Rhinolophus ferrumequinum: one gene and its partners. The protein of the gene in region 2 purifies or fractionates together with the protein of the main gene of each other region. This does not show direct contact. Links are inferred from orthologs where the notes say so. Each region holds a gene or a part of one and is shown on either strand. Other genes may lie near its edges.

Region 1 (7,090 bases), on a different chromosome or scaffold from region 2:
GAAAGGGAAAGATCTAAAGGGCTAACATTTTTTAGTTCTGAAATACATGGATATTATACTGTTCTCTGGACTTTTCTGTAGCATTTGAATATTTTCAGATTTTTTTAAAAACTTTTATTAGCAACATTTGAAACATCCTTGATTGTCATTAGACTATGATGACAAATAGCTTTCACTATCCCTTGCTGTCTTTTCCACCAGAGCTCACTTATAGGATACATGATCTGTAATTACATCTATCTACCCTGAGATTTTACAAAGGAACACAGTACCAGAACAAAAGAAATGAACCACTGATAGCAAATCGACATTCTAAGAATAAGACCACGAGGTCTTGGAGCATCTGAAAAGGAAAAACAGCAGTTGCACTTCACAAAGAATGTAGAGGATGCTGCCTTTGCATAGTGCCAAATGGATGGACCTATACCTACCGTGTTTCCCCGAAAATAAGACCTAGCCAGACAATCGGCTCTAATGCGTCTTTTGGAGCAAAAACTAATATAAGACCATCTTATTTTACTGTAAGATTGGGTCATATAATACTGGGTCTTATATTAATTTTTGCTCCAAAAGACGCATTAGAGCCGATTGCCTGGCTAGGTCTTATTTTCGGGAAAACACGGGATAGCACTACCAAGGGAGAAGGAACCCAATTCATACATAAATCAAAGCTAGTGAAGAATCAGTGAAACATTAAAGCCAATAAATTCAAACCATAAAAATGTTACTCCTCTCCCATAGCTGGTAGTGACCCAAACATGTACCACAGGCATAAAACTGAACACAAATCTGGACATTTTCCAGTATACAGAAATGGCCACCAGTGTTTCATGATAAACTGCCATCAAGGCTACTTGCTCCCATGAATAAATACCCTCCCTATACTTATTCCTTCAAACTAGCAGCCTCCCTCAATCACATCTGCAACATAGAGATCTTTATCTGTATTCACACCATATCAGCTCCCTACTGCCAATCTTCTCTCCAGCCAGCCAATCTTTACCTCTTTGCTTCTTCCAAATGACAAAGGTATTCGTAAGCCACATTCTGACGTCTCCTTTCATCCATCTCCTCCGCAGTAAGTCTCTCATTATCCAGGACAGCTAAAATATGAAAGAAAGAATATGAACACAAGAATCTGTGAACTTTCTGGGCGATAAAAGAATGCCACAGAATCAAAGTCTGCTAGTCACTTAGAGTCAGGGTAACTTATGAATGTGTGGTAGCCAGGTGTTCTACAATGACTTTCCTAAAACAGGAACTGTGGGGTTTCAACTATACTCATCTTACCCTTTTTTTAAAAGTATGAACACTAAATTTTAACATAACTTGAAAAATAATGACTTGAGATTTTGGTCCAAGTCTGTCCTAGCCCACCTGCCAAACTCTTTCTAAATACACAGCTGATCATGTTGTTTCCCTCTTTTATCAAGAACTAAAGCCAGCAGTCATTAAGAACTAAGTGGTAGTAATTGTGCTAAGCATTTACTTGCCTTCTTTCATTGAAGCCCCACGACGATCCTGTTATTACTCCCATTTCACAGATGAGGAAATTGAGGCTGGGTGATCTTAGCCCCACAGCTAAGTGGTGAGGCCTGGATTCAAATCTAGACAGTCTATCTCAAAAACCTGTGTGCTTAACCTTGAAGCAATCTACCTCCTGCTTAGGCACCCAAGGTATGGAATAAATTACTAATTCCTTCCGATGGCACTCAAGACCTTTCCCAATTTAGCCCCAACTACTTTTGGAAACTCTTCTCCCTCTCCCTGCCCTTTTGCTCACCACTGTGCACTCCACACCACTCAGTTCCCAACACACAGTGCCTTTCTACTCTTTAATACCTTAATTCATGCTCTTCCCTCTTCAGTCACATCTCTTGCCCTACCCTGCCCTGTCAAACCTGACACAACGTCTCAAGGTTCTGTTTAAATCACTACCTGTGGGCCCCCTCCCTTCCCCAAGCCCGTCTCCTCACCCACCCTACTGTTTATGCCAAGTTAGTTCACCCATCTTTTATCTTTATTATACCTTATTATCATTGAGTTGTGCACCTGTCTCTTTGATTAAAACGTTCTTTGAAGGCAGGGCCTGGTCTAACTCACCCTTAATTTCACAAATGGAACATAATACCTCACATATAACTGTTGATGAGTGAAATTATCCTAAAAACAGGACATTATGCTCAGATATAAAATAAAACTGAAAAACCTCAAGACGCCAATGGGCTCTCCTTTGGCCAGTGGTAACTATCTCGCCTGCAGGTCAATGACGTCCCAGGGACAGCTACAGAAAATGAGGAAGTCAGAGGGTTTTTGTTTTTTGGTGTTTTTAAAAAAAAATTTTTTTTAAACTTTGAAATCCTGGCGAGGGAACTGAGCCCGAGAAAGCTAAAGTGACTTGCCCAGGGCCGCACCTCTGGGATTGCCTGGGACCGGGCAGGTCTGGACCCTGGGTCTTGCTCGCCGGCAGCACTAGGGCAGCAGCTCCCCACCAAGCCTGAGCAGAGCCCCGGTCTCCAGTCTCCGGTCCCCGGGACACGCCCTGCACAGTCCTCCTGCCACCTCACCCTAGGCCGTCCCCTAAAATCTCGGTCTAGTTGGGCGGCGGGCGGCGCTGGGTGGGGCCCTCCAACCTCAGCGCCTGAGCTAAAGCAAGGAGGCCGCCTGGATGCCCCCCGCCGCATCGGAGGCCGGGGGCGCGGAACGCCGGCCTCGACGCCCGCCACCCCTCCCGCCCGCCGCCCCGGCTCTTCCGGGTCCGCGCGGCCGACAGCCGCCCTGCCCCACCCGCCCCGCCAAGCCCCCGGGAAAACGGCGCCTGGGAGGCAGAGAGCCCAGCCCCGAAACCCCCGCGCCGCAGAGCCCCGCACTCACAGCCATAGTGTGGCCGGGATACGCCCAGTCCGTCAACCTCTTCTGTGGCGGACATGGCGGACAAGCCCAGGTCTCTGCTGAGGAAGCGGTGAGACCTTAGAGGCGCGGGCGGCGAGAGCGGCAGCTGCTGTAGAGTGCGCGGGCTATCCAAGTCGCCGAGGCCCCGCCCCGCGCCGCCGGCCCCGCCCTGCGGCCCCGCCCTGCCTTGCCGACGGGAGCAGCAGGAGGCGGGGCCCGATCCGGCCGGCCCCGCCCTTGGCCACACCCCCGTCCGCCACGCCCTGAGGAGGTGGAAGGAAGGAGGCGGAGCCCGCGCTAGCGTGCAGCTCTGCTCCTCAAGGAAGGCCCACCCGGGCCCTGGAACCCTAACCTCCCCGGCCGCTGCCCGGTCCGCACCTCGAACGAAAAGGCTGCCATTGTCGGTGGCTTGAAATAAAAACCGTGGGCTCCCTCCCTTCCCCTGCCTGCCGAACTAAACTCCTCTGCACCAAAGGGCTCTAGGAGGGCGTCCTTTGAAGTGGCCCACCGTGTTCTTGTTTGACACAGCAGGACCCAAACTGCCATAAGGGAGCGCAATCTGGCCTCAGTTCTCTCCTAGATTCGCCAGCACTCGCCAGATTTGCACTGCTCAAACCCCTAGTACTTGAGAAGCGAATGCTGAAGCAGGAGAGCTGTGTTGGTCCAAACTTCCTTCCCTTTGATTCCCTGCCGCTGATCTTTGCAAATTCTTCTTTGTAGGGGACTCTATCCCTTTTGGGTATGGCTCTTCCCCTTGCACCTTGTGCGCTGCCCTTAAAATAATTGGTACTCGACGGAATTCTGTCCTCAGCCCTCCTCCGGTTTTTCTTGGACCACTCTTTCTGAGTAACTTCCACACTTGCCTTAAACTGCTGAAGAGCCATAAACCTGTGTACCTCCAGACCAGACCCTGCAGAAGCCCCAACTCAGTATTTTTGACTGTGTAATGGGCATTTTCATCTGTGAATCCCGCAGACACTTGAATGTGTCGAACGCTGAGCCTGCTCCTGCTGTATTTCTCTATTAATAGAAGTGCTCAGTTAAGTCTAGCATATTTTACCACTTTTCAGAAACTTTTAATAATTCTTGGTCCAATTCACAAGCTTAGTTAATTCAACATCTTCAAACATTAAAAATCATGTCTATAAACGTAATAGCTTTTCTTTTTAATTTCTTCAATTGTTTGACCTAGAACGTGTTCAAGGCTTAATAATAATTATAAATCAGATGAACTTACAAATATAATGAATCTAAAGTTCTGTTAGATGGCCCAGTTCCATGTGTAAACTTATCAAAATTTGAACTCAAAATCTAGTCTAAAACTAATTCAAATATACATTTAAAATAAGAGTTACAAGGCTGTAACTCTAATAAGCCAAATTTTCTTAAACATTGCAAGTGTATAAAATGTAAAATATGCACATATTTCTTCTTAACCCAAACATATTAATCACATAGTTCTTACCTCATTAAGCCGTCCTATACTTAATTCTAAAGCTTCTCTGAGTTGAAAGACAGCTGTTAAGACAGTTTCCAACCTGGGCAATTCAGATTAGTTTTGATCAGTGGTTTCTACCAGACAAGTCCTAGAGATGCAGGCTTTCAGAGCCATTCTTCTCAGTGTTCCAAATGTCTTTTATGTCTTTCATTGCCTCATCCTCTGACTACTCTTAGAAACCTGCAAATCCTACCTACACAGTTTATCTTTTGATTTTATTTCATATTTCTTGGCTTTTGAGATATGTACATATGTTTTTATTTTAATTCTAAAGACTTTTGTAATGAGTGCTAGCCAAATAGGTAAATGTATTTCCTCTCTAATGATAAAGATTATGAACCTACTGGGCTTTTGCATTCTTTCTTATTCCTAGAACCATACAATTTTAACAGGTATTTAAATCAACATCCTACATCCTAGTGAGTTTCAGATATCTCACATAGCTTTACCTGATGGTCACAAATTAAGTCACTCTTCATAAGTACAGTAACTGAAGTGTACTGAGGCTTACTGGACTAAATGTTTTGTATTTATTTTCTTATCTGAGCCCCATAGTAATCCTATAAAATAAGAACCATTATCATCTCCAATTTAGAGATGAGAAAATGGAGAACTAAGTAATTCAACTGAAGCCACACAGCAAGAGGCAGAGCTGGAACTCAAACCCAGGCCCCTCTAATGATAAAGCCTTCATGTCTGGTCAGTAAACACAAGATTCAGAGAAACACACATTAAGATCATAACTGGCCACTTACCACATCTCGTCAGAGTAGCAACGTCTTTTTTGTTTGTTTGTTTTGTCTTGTTTTGTTAATTGACATTATTGGCAAAGAGCTGCAAAAGCAACCACTGCCATGCCCTGCTGGTGGGCTGTAAATTGACACAAGCTTTCTGAAGTCCAACTTAGCATTATGTAGCTGTCCTTCAAATAAGGAATTCCACCTGTTAGAATCGATCATAATGAAATTGTTTTGTAAAGTGCAAAAATTAGTGATGAAGATGGTCCTTGGAAATGTCTTAAACACCCATCACTGGATGTTTAAATCAGTGATGGCACCTCCACACAATGGAATGACATACAGTGATAACAGTGACAATGTGTGGTTCTAATCAGGTTAAATGGTTACAAGGAATAGAGACCCACTTGTTTTACCTCTAGAGAAAAAATGGCCAAAAGGAAAGCATTTATAATAAAGATGCATATGGACTGGAACCAGGGCAACAAAAAACAGGATGAATGAAAGATTGAAGGCGTTGGATTTGTCTGTTTGTCCCTCTGGGCATCTTTGCTTCTCCACCGGTCTGCTCTACCCTCTTCTCTTTGACTTCTTCTTCCATTTCAATTTTTTCTGCTCCCCCAAAACCCTGGCTTCTATCTGGTTTGCCATAACTTTAAGTCAAGGCCATTGCATCCTTACACCATCAGCTCCATTGAGGATAATCTCAGTTGCCCAATTCCATGACCTAGTGGCATATGATTGGCCCGGCTCATCCTTTCACTCCCTGGGCATGTCTCTGTGGTAGGAGATACAGCCGTAGAAAACTGTGAGCTGAGCATTACTTCCTTCAGTGGTTGGGTCAGCAAACAACGATCAATACTTCTAATATGATGGTTAAATGAAAATAACAAATTATGAACTAACACATATATTATGATACGATTTTTTGCTCTAAAAGTATATAGATATAGATGCACATATGAATAGAAAAAAGTCTTGAAGCATATACATCAATATATTAACAGAAGTTTCTCCAGGTGGGGGACTTACAGTGGATTTGTGCGGGATTTGTTTATTTGCTTCCTCCAAGTTTTCTACAATGAGCTACTCAAAATGATATTTTGTAGGTTAACTGTAAATATAAAGTTGGTAAATATGAAATGAAAAAATGAAAATCAGGGGCCAGCCCGGTGGTTCAGGCAGTTGGAGCTCTGTGTTCCTAACTCCGAAGTTCGATTCCCATATGGGCCAGTCGGCTCTCAACCACAAGGTTGCCAGTTCGATTCCTTGACTCCCGCAAGGGATGGTGGGCTGCGCCCCCTGCAACTAGCAACGGCAACTGGACCTGGAGCTGAGCTGTGCCTTCCACAACTAAGACTGAAAGGACAACAACTTGACTTGGAAAAAAAAAAAGTCCTCGAAGTACACACTGTTCCCCAATAAAGCCTTGTTCCCCTTCCCCATTAAAATCTTAAAAAAATAAAAATAAAAAATAAAAATAAATAAAAATCAAAAAGAGAAATAATTTGGGGAGATAGAATTGGTTCATGACCTGAAGAATTTACAGACTCACAGGAATGGAGTAGTATTAACAGGATAGCTTCAGATAAGCACCAAAATAGAGGTTTCTTTGGTCCTGGAATATCTTTTAGCCTCTTATCTACCTGGGAAATTCCTACTCAACTTCCCAGACCCAACTCAAATGTCACCTCCTGCCCCAAGCTAAATTATTCACTTCCTCATTTATTTCCCAGTAGCATTTTAGAAACCATAGCTCTTCAAAAATAAGTCCCACTTTTTTTCACATTTGAATATTTCTGAAATCACTATTAAAAGGAACTAGCCAGATACCAGATAGAGAGAGAAGTCCATGAAAAAGTAACAATTATCATTGCTTGCAGATGTATGAGTTTAACTAAATTCTCAGAAAAGGTTAAAGAACTTTCACAGTTGGAACCGATGACAGATTCACATTTTACAA
Region 2 (7,693 bases):
AAGCCCCGAAAACACATGGATTTTAACAAAGAATACTTTGATTGGGTGCTCTTTCAAGCTGTACAGCACTTCTAAGGTATTTCTCAGGTGAAGGACCTTTCCCTCTGGCCAGCATGAATGCATGAATGTCCCCTAAAATGAGTACATTAAAGCTACCGACAACTTCCTGGTCTAACCAACTTCTGCTGTTAACATTGTCTAAGTTCCATTTTGTTTTCTTCCCAGACCTTCACCACGATCAGGTAAAGACACCTGTAAGTCTACAGTGAAACAAAGGTTTGTTTAGTTTTGAGCATCTTTTGTGTGTGAGAGACAGAGACAGAAACAGAGAAAGAGAGAGATATCTGAGAGGTTGATGTAGAAAGATTTTAGAACGCTCTTTGCTATGAACTCATGCCTCATTTTTGACTATATGAACCCAGATATTTAATCCAGAATCAGAGTTTACAAAAATGCCATAAAACAGGAACAAAGATTAGAGCCCAGAAAGCAATAAGGAATGCCATTTTTCCCTCCTTTCTTCATTCCACAGATGACACTTCTATACACAGGGCCCCAATTTGCCTGTCTTCCCAGCTCAGTAAGTTTCCTTTGCCTGCACTGGAAGGCATAGCGTAAGAAAACACGAAGGCAGCGCTCTTTCTTTGTTGTCACAAACAGAAGGAAGTGTCCTTCCCCTCTCCCCGCTCCCAAAAGCCAACAGACCCAAGGCCAACTTCTCTCTTGGATGCTCAGACATAGAGATGATCATATTGTACCTGGCAACTGAGTCAGTGACAAAGCACTAAGACTGAGAAAGAACATCTTACAAACACATTGCAAATAAAAAGAATCAGCAAGTATGGTGTTTGGTATGGGTGAAGGAGCTAAAGCCATTTCTTAGGTCCTAAAGGCCAGAGCTCACACAGATCTGCATAACCTAACACCATGGACGTCTTAGGCTTGCTGCTCTCCCATAATAATGGATGAATGGAGATTTTCAATAGAGCTGGGCATTCTTTCTTTCTAAAACTTCCAGGGATGTTTATAGAAGATGCCACTTTTACCCACAAATTGTGTCGTCTTATTTCTTCCAGCACTTCAACTCTTTTACTCCCCCCATCATACTCCCGTAGTAGTTTTGATTTTATTAAATACGATAGAAACTTTAGCATCCAAGATTAAGAATAATCTTAAATTGCATACCTTGCTACATTTTCCTAAAGCACTCTCACAACACATTTTCTCACAGGGACATGACAATGAGATAACGCAACACTTTATGTGAGTGGTTAAGGATAAAGGCCTACAGGTAGAAAATGAAAGCAAAAATACAAAAGTTTTGGTATTTAAAAAGAATGCCTCCACTCTATTCACCCACAAAAGGCGGAGTGAGTTCCACCTGCTGCCTTTCCCTGCCTGCCTGCATGGCACTTAGGTTAAGCTCAGAACAAGCCGGGAGAGAGAGAGAGAAAAGACAATTTCACCTCTTGGCAAAGCTCAGCTTACTGAACCCTCTTGCTTTCTGCTGGCTGTTGATTCAGCAGAAACTACTGCTGCAGAATTCATAATGGTGATTTTTAAAGGCCTCGCTGCTCGGATTGCTTTCCCCACGTGTCAGACTCATTCGCTTGCCTCCGGAACACCGTTTCCCAGCCACCTTTTCATTTCTTACTAATGCACTTCCAAGGGGAGAGGGGTCGCCCTTTTGCAAAGGGCCTTTTGGGGTTTTGATTGTCTGAGCAGGTAACCCGGCCAGAGAGATGAACCGGCAGGAAATGAAACCATGCCCTCCCTGCAGCCGCTGAGAGACACAACATTCCGCTCAGGGAGGGGAGGACCCACGGTCCCTCTGGGCCCCTTCCTTCTTGTCTCCCACAAAGACCCCTGCAAACATCTTGGGGGAGGGGTCATCTGCCTTCTGGGGGTCATTTTTCCAGCCGGGAGCCCCACCCTGAAAAGCCTAATCCCTGAGGGCCATTTTAACTCCCGTGGGCGCCGGGTCCACCTGCTGCTGAACGCCGGGCTCACCTCGCGGAGCCCAGACGGATCTGGGACGCCCTGGTGGCCGGCCCTGAGAGCCGAGCCCCCGCCCCAGCCCCGGGGCCCGAAGGTATCTCCGCCACTACGCGCCCAGCAGCCCGCGGAGCACGGCGATCCTCAACTTGCTCCCAGCCCCAGCGGCGGAATGCGGCGGGGCTGGCGTTACCTTCGGTCGCATAGCTGTGGTCGCGCAGGAAACTGTTGTTGATTTTGCGGGTATCAATGTCCTCCTCCATTGACAGCAGGCTTACTTGCGTGGGAACCAGAAGCCGGCAGACAAGTATCCATGATCCCTCCCCGCAGCCAGTCTCACAGGAGAGGGGGGCAGGGGAGCCAGTGGGACTGCACCATGGTCCGAGCCTGAGGAGGAGACGGGGAGGCGGAGAGAAAAAAAAATAAAAACCCGGCAATGGAGCTGTCACCTCCTCCACTCGGGATCTCCGAGGCTGCGGCGGCTCCTCCCGCGGTGCGCTCACTCCAGCTCCAATTCCCAGCGAGGATGCTGCGCCTGCCTCCGCTGCCTCCGGTGCCAAGATGCGCCGTGCCCCGAGGGGGCTGGTTCCGCCCGCTGCCCCGGCGGCGCTCACAAGCGGGGCTAGGGAGATGCCCAACAGGTTCCCCTTGTTGGCAGCCGCTCCGAAAATGTAAAAAAAAAAAAAAAAAAAATCCCTCCTCCCCCTGGGAGAGCGGGCAGCCGCGACAAAATGGTGCCTTTCTGGACCTGGGCTGCAGTGGCGAGATGGCAGGGGCAGGATTCAGCCTGGCCCGGCGCGGGTGAGGGTGCTGGTCCCACGGGAGGGCGGCTCCGGTTGGTGGGGGCTAGGGAGCCGGCGGGGAGCTGGGCAGGGTACTGCGGCCGGCTCCAGCGCACTCACCCGCACACCCACACGCGCGCGCTCGCAGCTGCTGCTGCAGAAGGCTGGAGGCGGCTGATGCATTAAAGGCGAGGCTCCTCCCAACCGCGTCAGCAGCCCCAGGACTCTTCCCCAGCAGCGGTGGTGGCCGACGCTAAGGCTGCGGCTGCTCTCTGCTGTAGTGGGGCGCACGCAGCCGCGAACCGGCACCTGGGCAGCGAGCAGCTCGCTTGCAGACGGTAAAAGCACAGACGCGCGCCCCACCTCCCTCCTTCGGTGCTACGCAGCTAAGGGCGGCGTTCACTCTAGCACCCACAGCCCCTACTCGCTGCCTTTCTCCGGACACCGGCGCTTCAGGACCTCAAAGAGAAGTGGGTTGCCGTGGGTAGGCAGGAAGCCTATCTCGAGGTCCCTTTGGCTCATCCTTATAGCACGCGTGCAGCCCCTTGATGAAGTTCAAGGGCAAGGCCTGGTTTTCGAAGCCTCAGAAAGAGAGGAGAGAATAGGAAGAAGAGCTTCCCAGCGCTTAGTTTAAACCTTCTGTGTTAGGAACAGAATTGGGGAGAGGGGCCGGAACTTTTCTGCGATCACCTCTGACTTCCACATTCCCAGTCCTGAACGTTTTCTAACTGTAGGAGTCTATGTTTACACAGGCAGAGGGAAGCAGAGGGCTGAGATGAATCTACTCAACACAGTCAATGCTAAACGAGTCCACCTTCTTACACCCTGCACTTTATTGCAGACCCACTGCTGCAGGCCCTCCTGTAGGTTTGGCGTATGAAGGTAGGACAACATTTGCTCTCAACAGGGAAGGTACCTTGGAGCCCTGTGCCCGCAGAGAGCCATTGCTACCCCGAGGAAATTTCAAAGATCCAATGAACACAAAAAGTGGCCTGTCTTCCTACTTCAACTAGGAGGAAAATACCAAATGCCCTCCTGCCCCCACCTATGTTTTCCCAAATTGCGAATTCTGTTATTTGAAAGAAAATTAAATCTTTATTGTTATAAAACAACCAACATCATTTATGATGCAACCCCAGTCACTAGAAAGCCAATTTGGAAAAGAAATTTTCTCGGTTTCCTCTTGTAGAAGGGATTCATTTCAGTGGGTGTCACTGCAGGGAGAAACAGCAAATGTCTTGCTCAGTTAAGCTCCACAAGTTCAGCAAGATGAGCCCAGAGGGGCCTGTGAGTTAATTATATACATACAATGGTTCGGCTAACACAATTTAGAAAGTATTTGAAGTTCAAAAAAACAGGAAAACAAGTCCTTAACTGAGGCTGGGAATTGCCATTAGATATCCATGAAGAATAGATGCTTCTGGCAGGTGGGAAATGGCATTGTCCCCATCTCCAGAAAGCGTCGATGCGTCTCTGGGAGGAGAGAGTAGGGATATTTTTTGATATAAGTTTTGGGGGAAGTTCAGCTTACAATAGATTCCATGTTCTTCTCATCTGGTGGTTAAGAGTCACATGCTTGTTTGACTACTGTGTTTCCCCAAAAATAAGACCTAGCCGGACCATCAGCTCTAATGCGTCTTTTGGGTCAAAAATTAATATAAGAGGGCCAGCCCGATGGCTCAGGCCGTTAGAGCTCTGTGCTCCTAACTCCGAAGGCTGCCGGTTCGATTCCGACATGGGCCAGTGGGCTCTCAACCACAAGGTTGCCAGTTCGATTCCTCGAGTCCCGCAAGGGATGGTGGGCAGCGCCCCCTGCAACTAAGATTGAACACGGCACCTTGAGCTGAGCTGCCGCTGAGCTCCCGGATGGCTCAGTTGGTTGGAGCGCGTCCTCTCAACCACAAGGTTGCCGGTTCAACTCCTGCAAGGGATGGTGGGCTGTGCCCCCTGCAACTAGCAACGGCAACTGGACCTGGAGCTGAGCTGCGCCTTCCACAACTAAGATTGAAAGGACAACAACTTGAAGCTGAACGGCACCCTCCACAACTAAGATTGAAAGGACAACAACTTGACTTGGAAAAAAAAAGTCCTGGAAATACACACTGTTCCCCAGTAAAGTCCTGTTCCCCTTCCCCAATAAAATTAAAAAAAAAATTAATATAAGACCCGGTATTCTATTCTATCCTATTCTATTCTATTCTATTCTATTCTATTCTATTCTATTCTATTCTATAAGACCGAGTCTTATATTATATTAAAATAAGACTGGGTTTTATATTAATTTTTGCTCCAAAAGATGCATTAGACCTGATGGTCCAGCCAGGTGTTATTTTCGGGGAAACACGGTATTTGTTCAAAATTCACGGATGAAATTCCAGGAAGAGAAGAAGACTGGTACAAGTCGATGTAATTCACTTCAGCACCAGTTGCCGAGGTGGTTCTTCCACGTGATGAGCTGTATCCATCCGATGGCTCCAGTGGTCAGCTCATCTGTAGTTATACAATCTAGCTTCTCTGGCAGATTGGCATCATGGGGAACAGGGAGAAAGGATGGAGGGGAAAAATAGCTAAGTTCATTTCAAAGTGGTGAGAAGACATCTTGCTTTCAGTTGAAATGAGCAGAGGTTGTGACTGGAGACCTTGAAATAAATAGTATTGAGGAAATTCACCCCCACCATCCTCCTGGACCGTGCGTGAGATTGGAACAAAGATGAAGTGGGTAGGCCCAGGCTCATTGGCCAGGCTGTGCTTGAGGAATTTTCCACTGTGACCATTGGGAGGAGTGTCCCCTCCGTAGATAAAGCCTCTGGGCTTACTCAATTTTCCTTTTCACGTTTCCTGAAAAATTCCTCCTACATTTATTCAACATACAGCATTTTTTCCCCCTACGACACAGTTCTGGGTTAACTAGATTCCAAGCTTTCCATTTTGTGGACCATTCTTTTCCACTAGGAGCAACCAAGGGGTGGGAACTAGCCCCGCCCCTCCAAAACCAAGAAAAATCAAGTTGTTGGCTTGATACTTGAATACAATGTTGTATAGTAAAGGAGGTAAGGGAGTGGGGAAAGCCCTGTCTAATCCTGTGGTGGCAAGAGGGACTACATGGACGGTTTCTCAGAAGACCTGCTGACCTCCTTTCTATTCCTCCAACGTGGCAAGTTCTTTCCAAAAGCGTGTGCATTTGCACATTCCTATGCCCCTTTCTCATGTTCTTGGCATTTTCAGCACCTCAGCTGAATTGTTTCTACGTCACTGAGGAATTTCCCTGACCACACTGTAGTCCCTCCCTCTGGTTGTTCTGTCTCTACATCTTCTATTTGGTCTTCTTCATGGCACAATGCATTGTGCAATAGCTGTTTACTTATTATTGTCAATCATTTCCAATGTATCTCTGATATTAAGTATCTGGCACTTAGTAGATGTGCACGTATATATTGGTTAAATAAATATAAATATTTCTTGAATGAATGAGTAAATTACTGGATTTGTTCAGTGACATTTAGGTTCTATGCTCCACTCTTATTAAAATGCTTGCAACTGCCTTCCCCCCCCGCCAACAAAACTTGTGAGCCAGTAATTTTCTAGTTTGTAAGTCCTATTCCTATTAAAATAATTGTTTCTACCCATTTTTGTATGCATACAAAGTTTGACAATTAGGTTCGTGAACTCATCCTAGAAAAATTGCTACATACCTCATTGCTGAATATCACTATGGTTACCTGCGAAGTACTTCCCTTGGGAAGCTATGCACCAACGGCAGTGCCTAGTCCACCCTTCAAAGCAATTTTGGAACTCTTTTTCTGTAATGGCCATCAGAGCTGTCATATTACCCTTGATGTCCTGAATGTCATCAAAATGTCTTCCTTTCAATATTTCCTATATCTTCGGGTAACGAAAGAAGTCGTTGGGGGCCAGATCAGGTGAGTAGGAAGGGTGTTCCAATGCAGTTATTTGTTTACTGGCTAAAAACTCCCTCACGGACAGTGCTGTGTGAACGGGTACATTGTCGTGATGCAAGAGCTATGGATTGGCAGAAAGTTCAGGTCGTCTGACTTTTTCACGCAGCCTTTTCAGCACTTCCAAATTGTAAACTTGGTTAACTGTTTGTCCAGTTGGTACAAATTCATAATGAATAATCCTTCTGATATCAAAAAAGTTTAGCAACATCGTTTTGATTCTTGATTTGGACTGATGGAAGTTTTTTGGTTGTGGGGAATTGGCTGACTTCCACTGTGCACTTTGACTCTTTGTTTCAGAGTCGTATTGTCATACTGGTACACCTGTGTTTCATTACCAGTGATAACATGGCCCAAAACACATCGTTTTGCCTCTTCAAAAAATCTTGGCAAACTTCAACTCTCCTTTGCTTTTTGTTCATCTGTGAACTCCTTTGGGACCATTTTTGCACATACCTTTCTCATGCCAAGATTTTCAGTTAAGATTTCCCTGTTTCTCTATCGATGTTTACTTGGTCTGCTATGCTTCTCACAGTCAGCGAATGATTTTGATGCACAATTCGACAAATCTTTGCAGTGTTTTCGTCAGTTCTGCTCATTACTGGCCACCCTGACCTCTCTTTACCAGTGACACATTCTCTCCGCTCAGAAAAACCTTTAATCCATTTGTACACTGCCGTTTTCTTCATGGCATTATCCCCATAAACTTGAACTAACATGTCTCTGATTTCACTTCCACTCTTGCCATGTTTAACAAGAAATTTAATGTTTGTTCGTTGCTCTAATTCAAGCTCAGACGTTCTCACAACAGCACACAAAAACACGCAACAACAATAATGACCACACTCAGCAAGACACTGCCACAGATCGACACGAACACAGCTGTGAGACACTGATATACAAAGGTCATGAAACCTTACCGAGCTGTTTGTACAGTGCTGCCAATGTAAACGCACGGTG
Region 3 (7,456 bases), on a different chromosome or scaffold from region 2:
GATCTTGTACACTGCAACTATGTAGAATTCACTTATTAGCTCTAATAGATTTTTATTTGACTCCTTAGAATTTTCTACATTTAAGATCATGTCATCTGCAAATAGAGATAGATTTACTTCTTCCTTTCCAATCTGGATGACTTTTCTTTTTCTTGCCCAAGTGCCCTGCCTGGAACCTTTAATACAACATTGAATAGAAGTGGTAAGAGCCACTTCCTTGTCTTGTTCCTGATCACAGGGAGAAAGCATTCAGTCTTGCATCGTTAAGTATGATGTGAGCTATGGTTTTTCATAGATGCCCTTTATCAGGTTGAGGAAATTCTCTTCTATACCTACATACTGAGTGTATTGGATTTTGTCAAATGCTTTTTGTTGCATCTATTGAATTAATCATGTGGTTTTTGTTCTTTATTCCATTATTATGATATATTATATTAACTGATTTTCAGATTTTAAACTAACCTTGCATTTCTGGGATAAATTGCACTTGATCATGGTATACAATCCTTTTTTATATGTTGCTAAAATTTGGTTTGCTAGTATTTTGTTGAGGATATTTACGTCCATATTCATAAGAGATATTGATCTGTAGTTTTAGTGTCTGGTTTGGTATCAGGGTAATGCTGGCCTCATCAAATGAATTGGGAAATGTTTAGATTATTCTGATCACTATTTAAACTTTCTCTAGCATCTCTCATCTTGACCTGAAGTCTCCCTTCAGCCTCTGCTCCACATCTCTGCTCCCTTTACAGCAAAGCTTTTCCTGAGAGGTGTCTACATACTGTGTTCTACTCACTCCAACTTGGCTGCTGCACTAAACACTCCACTAACACCATTAAAGGTCCCTGTGTGTTCTAAACTTACCAAAGCCAGTGATTATTTCTCAGGCCTCATTTTGCTTGAGTTCTCAGTAGCATGTGGCATGGGTGAGGCCCTCCTACCATCTTCTTGACAATCTTGATTTTCTTCCTAGCACCCAGGTCTGTTTCTCAGCTAATCAGCAAGATCCACTTCCTTCTCTAAAGTTTACAATGTTTGCAAACTTGAATGTGTGGACGAATCACCCGGGATCTTGTTAAAATGCTAAGTCTGATTCAGCAGCTCTGGTGTGAAGCCAGACTCTTACACATCTAACACACTTCTGAGTGATGCTAATGCTACTGATCTTACTTAAAGACCACACTTTAAGTAAGAAGGCTACAAAGAGTACTACATTCTGAATTTGTCTGTTTACTACTCTGAGGTGTCATTCAACTTGTTCCTCTGTTCTTTGTATTCCTGTGGGCAGTTCATGTTAGAGTCATCTAGGGAACTTTAAAAAATTGCCATGTCCAGGCCATACTCCCGATATATTAAATCAGAATATCTAGAGGCAGGGCCCAGGCACCAGCATTTTAGCACACGCGAGTGACTCTCATATACAGCTAAGATTAAGACCTTAATTGAAACATTCACTACTCAAAGTGTGTTCCAGGAACCAGCTACATTGGCATCATCATCTGGGAGTTTATTAGAAATGCAAAATCTCAGCCCTAACCCAGACCTACTGAATCAGAATCTGCATTTTAACTAGAGTCCAAGTTTCTTCTATGTGTGTTAAAGTCTGAGAAACGATGATCTATGTGCAGATGAATCGAAATGTTTATCGCCAGCTGTGAGCACCGTCCTCCATACCTAATTGCACTTCGGTATATACTCAGCCATCTCAAACTTAATGTGCTCTTAATTTGTATCCCTGCTTACACTTGTTCCTCCCCATCCTAGCCAATGACACCATCATTCCTAGTCATTCTACCACAAACCTAGGATTCACTGATGAGTCCACTGTGTCCCTTATTCCCCTATTCAATCCATATAGTCCTGATGACTACTTCCAAATCCATCCCAAATGCATCCACTTCTCTCCATCTGCAGGCCAACACCCAGGGGCCTCTTTCCCATCCTCCCACTTCTTTCCTTACTTGTCTCCAGTCAGTTCTCCCAACCTGGGCCAAAGGAAGCTTTTTAAAACGTGAACTATGTTCAGCATTCTCTGCCTAAAATTACTAATGATATATCTTACTTAAGATAAAATCAGACAGTGTATACCCTTCCAAACTCAACTCTTACCACTGACAGCTCCAGCTACCTCTATCTTAAACAAGCTAAGTTTATTATAGTCTCAGAGCCTTTGCACTTGCTTTTCCTTCTGTTTGGAAATTTCTTCCCCCGATCGGTCCACAGGTGTCTCTGGTCATTCAGGTTTATATTCAAATTAGAGGCTTCCCTAACCACTGCTGCCCCACTCCCTATCTAAAGCCTCCATCACTCTGATAAATGCATTTTTAGCTCCTAGTAGCATCTGAAATCACCTGTTCTCTTTCTTTCTGACTTGTTCAATGTCTGGCCCCTCCCCCCGCCCCCAGGAGATGACGGATTTTGTCTGTCCTCCTCATTGCTGTGTCTCCAGCACCCGGAACAGTGCCTGGTAAATGATAGGTACCTAACAAGTATCGGTGGAATGCGAAGAAGAGCTAAACTTCTACAAAGCGTCTATAATCCATAAATCTGAATCCCATAGCCAGGTGTACCTACAGCAGCTTTGAGACCGTCTGCCAGGATTCTGGGCTTCTTGGGAGAAACGGGCAAATGGGGGTTTGAATACCAGCCTAGCTGCCGACCTGCGGCGTGACCTCGGGAGAGGTCCTTAACCACGCTGAGCCTCAGCTATCTCATCCGCAAAATGGGCAATTAAGGACAGGAAGAGGCGGGTGCACAGAGGGAGGCCTTTCCCCGCACGTCCCAGCCCCGCACCCTAAAAGGTCATGGTGCCCTGGTTCTGCAGCCGGGTCCCTCTGGGCCCGCCCTTCCGCGCTGCCGGTCCAGAATGGGCCTCCCCGGGGTCCTGCAGTTCGCGCTCGCTTCCCCACGCGCGACCTACCTACTCACACGGGTGGCCGCGGAATCCCAGCCAGCTGCCTCTTGCCGCTGGGCGCCGCCATGTTGCCCGGAGAGCTTCCAGGTCATGGACCACCATGGCCACAGCAAATCAAGAACGCCGGTGTAAAGAAGTCCCGTCCAAAGGGGATGACCACCAATAGGAAGGCAGATCGACCTTGGTACCGCCTAGTAACGAGCTAGGCCCCACCCCTAACAAGGCAAGCCACATCCCTGACCAAGCGAATTGAGGAATATGGCCGGGGAAGGAGTGAGAGGATCGTTTCCGGGTTGGGAGGCTGGACTTGGGGACGGCCGTGAATCCAGTTGGCGGTCCGTTTACCCACGTGAAATGTGGGAATGAAATATTAAGGGTGCAAGTATCCCCAAACGTGTTAAAAATGTAGTGTGTGGGTCCCTGTATTTATACTTCTCCCCTCTGTGCAGCATGTCCATGATCACCGGATAATCCCTTTACCTCCGGGCAGGGCGACAGTAGAGATGGTGTATCTGGCATCCGCCCCGCTGACTACAGGAGCTGGGCAGTCGGACATAGGAGGTACCTGGAGCGTGGATGTGGCTGCAGCGCAATACACCTGCCCATCCCTATGGTTCCCCCCCTCTTCCGTGGTTCAGCCTCCTGACTTTGTCTTGCGCCAAATGAGCTTCTGGGTGCTGTGGGGATAGACTCAGGAGTGCAGTTTCCAGGCTCTCACCTTCATGTGGAAAGGTGCTCACTCTGGTAGTAACTGGCCATCAACTGTGATTGGATGGCTATCAGCTGTGGCTAGTTGGCCATCAGCTGTGGCTAGTTGGCCATCAGCTGTAACCAGTGAGCCATTGGCCACTAATGTAACTGCTGTGGCTACGCTAGCAGAAAATGGGGGCTAGCAAAAGGACGGTGGCTGAGCTAGCAAGAGTGGATTGCAGTTAGCATGGCTGATTGCAGCTAGCAAGTGGGGTTGGTTGGCAGAGAGAAGTGGACGGCAGTTTGAGGATAGTGTGGCTCCTACTTCCTGTGTCTCCGTCCCAGCAGTTGGGGAGAATATAGTGGTATGACTCCCCAATAATGGCTCCGTGGGTGTTCCTTTTTGGCCTCACCATATCCTGCATTCTAATGCGGGGAGTGGGACCAGAGACCCCGCATGACACCCTGCATGACAGCGCTCAGCCAGCGCGTGTTCCACAGCCTCACGTGGGCTCAGAAGCACCTTGGAGTCACGCAAATGCCTCCAGGAAGTGCGGGGCGGGACCTGAGGGCCTGGGTCTAACTCCCTTTTCCTCCTTCACTCCCCGCCCTGACCTCCTGCCCTGGTGCCCGTCCACCCTCCTCTTCCTGTCCATGAGCGCCCTCAGGCGGTACAAACTGCTCTCCAAGGAGAAAATCAAAATCAACCTCACTCCATGAGTCAGCTGGGCCAGGGAGGATGTTCTCCACACCACTCCCACCCCTGCTCTTCGCTCCTGTGGGGGCAGGGAGCTAGTAGCATGGGGAAGTGGGGTGGACACTGCTGAAGCTGTCCAGGTGAGGAAGGGTCCCCTCCAGGAAGGTTCTCAGAGCTAGGCTAAGGAGCCTCATGGGCCAGCCCTCTGTCTCTCTCTACCCCAGCCCTGGCAGAGGTTGACTCAGGGTCTTGACCCCTCCATGCCAGGCCCCCAGTTACCCTGTCCAGAGCTGTCCAGAATTGGGGGACAGGGGGAGTCAATGGACTCCCTGCCCCGGAAACTGTGGCTGATGCTTCTGGTTACCTGCTCCATGGCAGATGGGGTACAACTGTGTGGGCCCAGGGTCACATTCACTTAATCCCTTGTCCTCCTCTGACTCCTGCCTCCCTCCAGACCTCGTGCTGATCCACCACAACTAGGCCATTAGATGTTCCTAGGTTACCATGCAGTTTCTCTCTTCAGCTTTCACCACTTGGAATAAAGACCCCTGGAGACACCCCCCACACACTCCACCACGACGTACTGAACATCTCCTGTGTGCTTCTTTAACATAAGCTCCATGAGAACAGGGCGATTTTGTCTGTTGCATGTGTTGTCACCAGCATTAGAGACAGGGCCTGGAACATGGTAGGTGCTCACTAGATGTTAGTTACAAAATGAATAAATGAATAGATGAATGTTCTTTTCATCCTAATATTTAAACCTTAGAAACTGTCCCTTGTGAGTTGTCACAACTGTCCTGATGCTCACCCAACCTTTAAACCCCAGCAGTAACACCTTTAAATCCCTTGTGACAGTACCATGTGACTGCCTTTGCATGCCTAATTACCCTACCACTGCCTTCCCCCATCTTTCCCCAGCTCCAGAGCAGCCTGCATTACCTCATAGACCTCTATGCCAATTTGTTTGCTCACAGTCCTTTGTCAGTTTGGGATACTTGGATTTGGGGACATGTGATGGCCTTCCTGCTCCTCTCCTGCATTCCCCTTTCCCTCCCTCACCCTGATCCCCACTCTACTGTCCAAAATTGGTTGCTGAGTACAGCGAACTGCCCCTACAATTTGTTAATGGCCTTACTGAGTGGTGTGCCTATGGCTGTGGTCTGTGTAGCTGGCATCAGTGTGATGTTGTTTTAAAGTTTGAGGGGTATTGACTTTGGCTACACTGGTCGTGGGCATCCTCAACATGCTGTGAGTATACCACATCATGCTGTCCAGAGCATGAGGCAGGGAAGCCCTCACGTCCCAGAGCAGAGTGTGGGAAGGTGTTGAAGAGATGTGGAAGAGCTCCCCTAAACCTGCTGTAGACTTGGACCCAGGGCCAGAATGGTGGAGGCTGTGCAGAGGAACCTGAGGCTGTGCCCATCCCACAACCAGAAGGCTCCGATTCCCTCAAAAAGCATTTATTGAGTGCCTCCTTACAGCAGTGAGCACAAAAATATTCCTGACCTTGGGGAGCTGGCATTCTAATGGGGAACACAGACAAAAGACCCATGTTCTACAGAAATATTTTACAACTATTTGCAGCTTGAAAAATATTAAGTGCAAACTCTAAAACTTTTGGATATGATTTCGTCTATCATCTTGTTAACCTTAATCTACTTTTGAACTTCGAACATATTACCTTTTGTTAACATTTTTCAGTCCTTTTTGCTTGTGTGTAGAGCTTTACTCTGTGTTCTGTGTATTAATTTAGTTATTTAGATTTATGTATTCAGTCATTCTGCCATCTAAAACAAAGCTTCAAAATACATTCATTATACATATTTTAAAACAAATACGTGTTGTGTGCTGGATCCAGAGGGAAATATAAAATTAATTTGAAAAAGGAAAAGAAATTTAAGTTAGCCAAATGCTTAGAATTTTATTCCAAATTCATGAAGTAAAAATGTAAAATGTTACATGTGATTAACATAATGGTTATTATAGATTAAGAATTTTTTTAAAAAAATAGCTTGAGCTGTGTGGCAATTACATGGTATATATGTGTATGTAAAACTTCATTGAGCTCTCCATTATTACTTGTGCATTTTACTTTAATATTTCAATTTAAAAGTTTTAAAAAGTGATAATTGATTCATTGAGCTTTAACTTGTAGAGTTTTCTCTATACATTATATACTTTAAAAGTCTATTTAAACACATTACATCCATTAGAATGGCTATTATCAAAAAAGCATAATCTAACAAATGTTAATGAGGGTGTGAAGAAAGTAGTACCCTTGCACACTGCTGATGGGAATTTAAAATGGTTCAGCCACTATGGAAAACAGCACAGTGGCTCCTCAACAAATTAAAAATAGAGCTACCATATGATTCAGCAATTCCACTTCTGGATATATACCCAGAAGAATGGAGAGCAAGGACTCAAACAGTTGCACACCTTATTCATAGCAGCATGATTCACAATAATCAAAGCAACTCAAATGTCCATCGACAGATGAACTAATAAAATGTGGTATGTATATATAATGCAATATTATTCAGCTTTAAAAAGGAAGGAAATTCTGTCCTTTTGTGAGATAAACCAGTCACAAAAGGACAAATACTATGTGATTCCACTTATATGAGGTCCCTGGAGTCGTCAAATTATCATAGAAACAAAAAGTAGAATGGTGGGTGCCAGGGGTTAGGAGAGGAGGAATAGGGAGTTAATGTTTAATAGGGACAGAGTTTCAGTCTTGGAGGATGAAAAAACTGAAGATGTATGATGGTACACAACATAAATGTACTTAATACCACTTAAAAATGGTAAATTTTGTTATAGATTATACCATAATTTTTAAAACGTCTACTGAAAAAAGATAAGGGGTAAGAAATTAGGTCAGATTGAAGTGATGAGGGAGAGCTCCTGGGCTCCCGGAGAAAGCTTCAGTTTTAGGCTGTTAACCTAAGTGGACTAGCACATAAAATGCGGGCTTGGCAGTAGCAAAGGCTCTAGGCAAGGATAGTTATCTGCCCCCATTAAGAAAGCCATTTCTGCAATACTTTGGCTTCCATGACGCAGGACACCGGCAAGGGGACGGGAAGATACACGCAGCCAGCTTAGGATGCCTCAATGACTGCGCAGTGGCAGCGCCTCTGCCCTATCAAGAT
Region 4 (6,865 bases), on a different chromosome or scaffold from region 2:
GCACACGGACACCCAGCACCCACTCAGGGTCCTTGCACAGCCTGCTGCAGTCAGACCTCTGGCCTGAGGGACAGCCCGGGAAGCTAATAACCTCCCTGCAAGTCAGGCTTATAGTGCAGACAGTTAGGGAAGCCGTCAGTTACTGATCAAGCCTGTAAGATCGGGTCTTATGTTAATTTTTGCTCCAAAAGATGCATTAGAGCTGACTGTCCGGCTAGGTCTTATTTTCGGGAAAACACAGTGCTTCTGTGAGCTTCTGGAACAGGCACAGCTGACCCAAGTGTAAGACAGCACGCTGTCTGGAGAGAACTGGCCAGGACAGCGGTGTGAGCGGCGTGGCTCCGAGTGCATGCACTGTCACGACCAAGAGGCCTGCACATGGCATCTGTCCTGTTCACTGTCCCTGATGCACAAAAGGGACAAATAAGTTGATTGGGGAGGCAACCATCCACTGAAAACAACCACTTCAGGTACTGCCCACTGCACATGCAGCAGGACAAAGATACATTCAGTCATTCTGAATCCCTGCTCTTATGTCCCCAATGCCAGCCACTGCCGGTGCTGTTCCACTTCACAAGAAAGCAGGCAGGCTGACCCTACAGAAGGGAGGAGCTCAAGGGCAGGCCATGCGCCGGGTGAAGGGGTCAGGCTGAGCCCAGGAGAAGGGCCTCAGACACGTGTGTTTGGGGCAAAGTCTGCATGGCTCTGAAGTGACCCTGAGAAGTGGGGGGGCAAAGATGAGGACACAGACCCCTCGGTGGGCCTGGCGCAGCACAGCTCTCGGCGAAGCCCAAGTGACTGTGGCCTGAGGGTACTGAACCCTTCTAACACGGGGACCCAACGAGCTGCTCTGAGGCTGTCCTAACTGCACGGCCTGACTCGCATTAATTCTGAACAAAACTGTTAGGAATTACCCACCTCCACTGTCGCCACAATCGGCCGGAAGGTGCTGCTGCGTACCTAGTGAAATGCCCCAATCCCACCAAGTGCTCAGGGTTGCAGGTATTCCACTCGAAACCCCAAAGTCAACATGCAGGACTGCCCCTCAGCCTCCTCCAGACCAAGCGCTGACCAGAGAAAGCAGAGGGACTGAGCAGTTCCACATGGCACATGGAGCGAGGAGGATGCTATGCCGACCCACTCAGAGCCTCCACGGAGAGAGAACCCAGGCGGCCAGGCCGCCTCACACCATATGGCCGGTGGGAAATGCCGATCCCCAGATTCCACGCAGTAGGGCTGGGACAGGCTCGAGCCGTGCCCGTGACCCTCCGCCACTGCAAGGCACTCCTGTGAGTGCAAATCACACCACCATCAGATTTGCTGTGAAACGCAACATTCAAGGGAGACAAGATGGAGCCGCGGGCAAGGTCCCCAGAACGGTGCCCAGGTGAGACGTGGTGCCCTGGGCCCTGCTGCTGTCTGACATTTCTCCTAAGATGTTTCTACAAAATGAATTTCAGGCACTTTTGTTACCTGGAATGAAATACAAACTTTCTTTGCCTGTGAATGTTCCACTAGCAAGTGAGGGAAACTTGCCTGCCCTCTTTCCAAGATAAACCTGCAAAGGTCACAACAGACGTTTTATTCTGAGTTTCAACTTTAATTATAAAACATGGCAAACCTAAAAATAGAGCAGTTGTATGTAGGACATTTATAAAACACTAAACTTCCTTTTTCCCTTGGCTCCTTTGAAAAGAACCATGAACTCAGGCCTGCAGCACACATGCTACCAGCGGAGGAAACGCAGCGGGAAACACTGCTGGGACCGGAGCGTCTCCCAGCAAACTTACCTGGCTGGAGGGGTCTCTTCCTGGTGATCCAATAAGCTCTTGAAAATGTAGAGCCGAGCTTGTTTTTGACCTGTGGAAGCGAGCTCCTGGTACCTTTCCTAGTCACAGCGGCTGCCTCCCATGGGACACGAGCCGGGCGGGCAGGCACAGGAGCCCACTGCACACAGTTCACTTGCCCGGCTCTGGGAGTCCTCCTCTACCCCCCCCCCCCCCGAGTCTACGCTGGCCTGTGCAGAGCCCCAGCTTTAGACCACCGGGAGGCCAGAGGCCGGCACCTAGGCAGGCGACTCCCTGACCAGCCGAGAGGGTCTACTGCAGGAGGGCAGAGGGAAACCACTGAAAAAGATCCTTAGCCTTCCTTCTCAGAGCAATTAAAACAGGAAACAAAGGAAAGGAACACTCTCAGGCCGCCCTGTGAAAGGTGCCCCCGACCCGGCCATTTGGGACGGCATTCGATTACCAGCGAAACCGAGCTCTGCTAAAACGACGGACGGTGAAATCGCAGCATTTGATTGCTAACCTCCTTTCCCACAGCCCATTCCGCAGGAGTGCAGACTGGGAAGGAAACCGAGACACGGCCACGACGGGTCACGACCGCCGGGAGGAGGAGGGGCCGCCACGGTCCCCACCGGGATTCAGGAGGGTCTTCGTGGGGGCCTTAGGAGGAGCGTGCGCTGACCTTTACCAAGTCACAGGGAAGACGGTGCGGGGGGTTCCCGACGGAAGCCGGCACTGCACGAGCCGCCCAATACACCCCCGTCCAGTGTTTGTCCTAGTAAAGGGCCCCCACGCGAGGAAAGACACTGGAGCCCTACTTTCCGGGTAGTGGTGCGGGACGGCGAAAGTTTAGGCTGTTGGCAGCACGAGGTGAATCCCCGGTGGCGTACGACTCGGCGGGCAGGCGGGGGCCACCGGTCGATCGGGTCGCGCCCCCTCCTCCGAGCGCCCGCCGCACACCCTCGGGTCCCCCCCAACTCCCGAGCCGCACCCTCGCCCCCGCGGCCGGGCCCCTCCCCGGTCCCCTCAGCCCCCAAGCTGCCCCCTGTCCCCCGGCCGCCGCCCTCCCCCAGCACCCCAGGGTCGCGCGCCGAGGGCCGCCCGCACGTGCCAGCGCGCCCTCCGGAACCCGCCGAGGCGGAGGAACCGGACGCCGGGGTCGGACGCTCACCTGGCCTCCAGTCGTCTGCGCCGCCGCCCGCCGCCGAGGGAGGGGCGGGACCGGGGCGGGGCGGCTCAGCGCCCACAAAGAGTCGCCAAGGCACCGCCCACCCCGCCCGCTGATTGGCTGAGCACGGGGACGGGGCCTCCGATTCAAACCGGGGGCGGGGCCTGGCTCTGGAGTTCCCGCGCGGCCGCGTTGGCCGTTGGGCTGGAGCCCTCAGCGCCCCGCCCCCACCGACTCCCAGGTCTCCGCGCGCGGCTCTAGTGCGCCTGCGCTCTGCCACCCGGGGGCAGGGCGGGGCGGGAGGTGTGGGTGGGAGAGGACCGGAAGGGGGACGGGAGGAGCAGGAGGATCAGGGAGGGGCTTTAGGGAGTTAGGGGCGGGGCTTTGGGGAGGGGAGGGGAGAAGGGCGGCGGAGAGGGCGAAGGAAGAGGAGGGCAGGGCAGCAGCTCCCTGGACGGCACGGGTCACAACAGGGGCTTCCCAGGTTTACATGTAAGAAATTAAACGGTCGACTGGCCCAAAAATAACTCTCAAAACCATAAAAGTAGAAAACGGGAGTTTGTTTTTTACATTATTTCTTAGTGGAAAAGGTCTGAAATAGGATACAAAATCCAGAATCCGTTAATCCAAGTAACACTTCTTAAACGCAGGCGGGGCTGCAGTGCTAACCCAGTAAAAGCCGCCTGCCCCCCTGTCCTGCGCTGGGCCCCGACCACGGTGGGAAGTGCTGCCAGAAGCCGAGGCGCGGGGCCCTGAGCGCGCAGGCCTCCAAGGCGGCGTCTGAGAACACGCCCAAAAGGAGGGAGGGGAAGAATTCCAGGCAGAGGGACCGGCTGGACCAGTCGGGAGGTGAGGCAGGAGGGGGGCCTGGCTGCAGTGAAAGGGAGTCTGTCACTCAGAATATTTAAGAGAGTGTGGGCTTTCCTCGCAGTAAGATGAGAGACCATTGCTCAGAAGAGGGGCGGGTTCTGAACTGGGCTTGAAAAGAATCACTGTTGAAATTGATTGGGGGAGGCGGAAGTAGAACGTCCAGTTAGGTCACCGCAGTCCTGGGGTGCAAGTCAGTGGCTGTGATAAATGTGATGACCTAAATATTTAAAAGGTATGTCAAACAGGGAAAGTCTAGGGGAAAATTTTGTTCCCAACCATATGCCACACAAAAGACTGAATTTCTTAATACCTGGATATTCTGCAAATAGAAAGATCAACAAACCAGCAGAAGGTGTGAAAAGGATGTTGACACACGGTTCAGAGCAAAGGAAGAACATGCTGGTAAGCTGGCGGGAAGGCACTGAGCCTCAGAGCAAGAGCCACGCAAGTGAAGCTAGGTGGATTTCCACTGTCAGACTGGCAAAGATCAAAAATGCCCTCTGGAGTAAGGTGATAACTTTCCAGAGCCTTCATTCTTTCTCACTCAAAATTTCCAGCATGAAATTAAAATTAACAGGACACAAGAACAAAACATGGCAAAAAAGGGGAAAAAACCCCAGATAATAGACTCATGGTTGGCTGTAATATTAGCGTTACAATTGTTTGTTTATTTGTTTTAAGGAACTGTTGTATTCAAGAAAATTAACGACAAGGTGAATAAAGAATGAGAGAAATAACATTAACCTTATACAGAGCCTTCCAGGTAGTGAAGAAGGAATTCTCCCCAGCTTATCAGGAGCCGGCTTAACCTCGGTGCTAAAACTTGAGAAGATAACAAGAAAGAAAAATTACAGGCTAGTCTCTCTTGCGACCATACTTCAAAATTCCAAACAAAATCGTAGCAAATCAAACCCAGCAATAAATAAAAAAGAACACATCACTACCAATTAGGTTTATTCCAGGAATGGAAAGCATTCCAGAAATGCTTTAACATTCAACAAACCAATGTAATGCATCACATTAGTAAAATGAAGGAAAATAAAAAAATAAACATCTCAGGTGGAGAAGAATTATCTGATAAAATTCAACACAAATTCATGATAAAATACTTAGGAACCTGAAAGTAAGGTGCCAGGTTAGCAGCAGTCCACAGGACCACCCTTGGTCCTGATATTCACTGCATGTTTAGGGGTCACCAAGACCACTGTCAGCTTCAGTAATTCACTAGGACTCAAAAAACTTGCTGAAAACTGTTACACTCACAGTTATGATCATTAGCGTGAAAGCTTACAGATTAAAGTCAGCCAGGAGAAGTGCATGGGGCAGGGTCCAGGAGGGTCCATGCATGGAGATGGCACACCCGACAGCCTCAGGCCCCTAGCTAACAGACACCACTAGCAGTCAGGACATCCCAAGAGTTTGGAGATCACCTCTCAGGTTGCCAGGGCAAGGACCAGACCTGGCCTTGGGCATGGATCACTTCTTCACTGCACAACAAGGGACCTCCCTGTAGCTGAATAAAGTGTATTTACAAAAAACCTGTAGGAAATAGTGTAATGTGTGGACTAAAACGGGGTCACATAACTAAACCTGACAAGCTCAGGAGAGCCACATGGCAGTGACAAGCTCAGTAATGAGAGTGACCACACAGGATGGTCTGAACATCAAAATTCCTAACTAAAGGCGGGTCGTGGCGGGTAGTCACGTCCTAGGCCTGTAGCTTCCTTGACAAAGGTCACTCTTTACCTGAAGTGAGCCTGTCTGTTGTCTTTTTGCATCTAAGATAACATACCTTTGAAATGTCAGAGGAATCTCCTTCCCCCGACCCCTCAGGGCACAACCTCCCACCAGAGCCCAGACCACAGACCCCCTCACTATTATTTTGTTGTTCCCATACCATCTCCACATGCTTAAGTGTTCATTGTTGTCTGTCCTGTACCCACCCGTGTAAAGGATTGTGTGTCTCTCCGTTTTACTTTTTATCCAAGAGATCTCCCCGCTTTGCTTTCTCCCACCCCTTTAACCTACCACCCATGGATTCCATAGAACCCCCTTAGTCTCCTTCTTTGACTCTAATGTATAAAATAAGCTGCAAAACTGCTGTTCCCTGGAGCATTTTCTCAATCCCTTGAGATCCTGCTTCCCAGAAATCATCAGTTTGGCTCAGAAAAACTCATAAAAGTTATCCACAGTTTGAGGCATTTCTTGCGTCAACAAATGCCTAGTGAAACAGTACAGATGTGGAAGTTCCACCCTGTGGTCGGGAAGGTGTCTGCTCCCCCCACTCCTGCCCTACCTTATGCTGTAGGGCCTAGAGCCAGAAAAAGAAGCAACAGGTATAAGATTTGAAAATAACTAAAATCATTATTCCCTGAAGAGAAGGTTTCAAATGTAGAAATGCAGAAGAATCTTGTCGCAGCCGGCTCGGCGCCGTAACAAAATACCATGGAGGGTGACTTAGCCACAGAAATGTACTTCTCATCATTCTGGAGGCCAGGAGTCCAAGATAAGGTTCCAACAAGGTTGGGCATCTGGTGACAGCTCTCCTCCTAGCTTGCAGACAGCAGTTTAGAGAGAGCCAGATAGATAGCTCTTTCTCTTCTTATAAGGCCACCAATCCTACCAGATCAGCACCCCACCCTTATGACCTCATTTAACCCCAGTCACCTCCTAAAGGCCCTGTTCTCGAAGACAGTCACGTGTGAATTTGAGTGGGACACAGTTCAGTCCATAGCAAATCTCCAGATAATAAAGATCAAATTAATAAAGAATTAAGCACAACCGTCAGATAAACAGTCAATACATAGGAAAATCAATTACACTTTTATATACAAGTAACAAACTATTTTTATATTAAAAATTTTTTTAATGATACCATTTGCAAAGTATCAAAAACATCAGCGCCCAGGGATAAATCTAACAACAAAACACAAGGCCTAAATGTGGAAAAGTGCAAATCACGGCTGAGAGAAATTAACAACTCTGTAAATGGTAGACGAATATACCAGGGCCACAGATCAGAGGACTCATCTTGTCAAGG

The links.
Region 1: the proteins of PPP2R2B (region 2) and IQGAP1 purify together in Homo sapiens (co-immunoprecipitation; 3 studies listed by BioGRID and IntAct, with this or other methods). This does not show direct contact. The link is inferred for Rhinolophus ferrumequinum from reciprocal best matches to the Homo sapiens genes PPP2R2B and IQGAP1.
Region 3: the proteins of PPP2R2B (region 2) and ECSIT purify together in Homo sapiens (affinity purification with mass spectrometry; 3 studies listed by BioGRID and IntAct, with this or other methods). This does not show direct contact. The link is inferred for Rhinolophus ferrumequinum from reciprocal best matches to the Homo sapiens genes PPP2R2B and ECSIT.
Region 4: the proteins of PPP2R2B (region 2) and CDCA4 purify together in Homo sapiens (affinity purification with mass spectrometry; 4 studies listed by BioGRID and IntAct, with this or other methods). This does not show direct contact. The link is inferred for Rhinolophus ferrumequinum from reciprocal best matches to the Homo sapiens genes PPP2R2B and CDCA4.

What each region holds. Positions count from the first base shown.
Region 1 is NC_046311.1:3,447,432-3,454,521, reverse strand, and holds the start of IQGAP1 (ras GTPase-activating-like protein IQGAP1), read right to left. Parts: upstream 3,012-7,090; 5' UTR 2,930-3,011; coding exon 2,875-2,929; intron 1,104-2,874; coding exon 1,004-1,103; intron 1-1,003. UniProt on the Homo sapiens protein: Plays a crucial role in regulating the dynamics and assembly of the actin cytoskeleton.
Region 2 is NC_046307.1:19,931,700-19,939,392, forward strand, and holds the start of PPP2R2B (serine/threonine-protein phosphatase 2A 55 kDa regulatory subunit B beta isoform), read right to left. Parts: upstream 3,010-7,693; 5' UTR 2,961-3,009; coding exon 2,788-2,960; exon of another isoform or gene 2,383-2,787; coding exon 2,189-2,382; intron 1-2,188. UniProt on the Homo sapiens protein: The B regulatory subunit might modulate substrate selectivity and catalytic activity, and might also direct the localization of the catalytic enzyme to a particular subcellular compartment.
Region 3 is NC_046301.1:39,072,638-39,080,093, reverse strand, and holds the start of ECSIT (evolutionarily conserved signaling intermediate in Toll pathway, mitochondrial), read right to left. Parts: upstream 3,023-7,456; 5' UTR 3,017-3,022; coding exon 2,929-3,016; exon of another isoform or gene 2,921-2,928; intron 983-2,920; exon of another isoform or gene 865-982; intron 1-864.
Region 4 is NC_046289.1:688,287-695,151, reverse strand, and holds the start of CDCA4 (cell division cycle-associated protein 4), read right to left. Parts: upstream 3,015-6,865; 5' UTR 2,959-3,014; intron 2,758-2,958; exon of another isoform or gene 1,791-2,757; intron 1-1,790. UniProt on the Homo sapiens protein: May participate in the regulation of cell proliferation through the E2F/RB pathway. May be involved in molecular regulation of hematopoietic stem cells and progenitor cell lineage commitment and differentiation.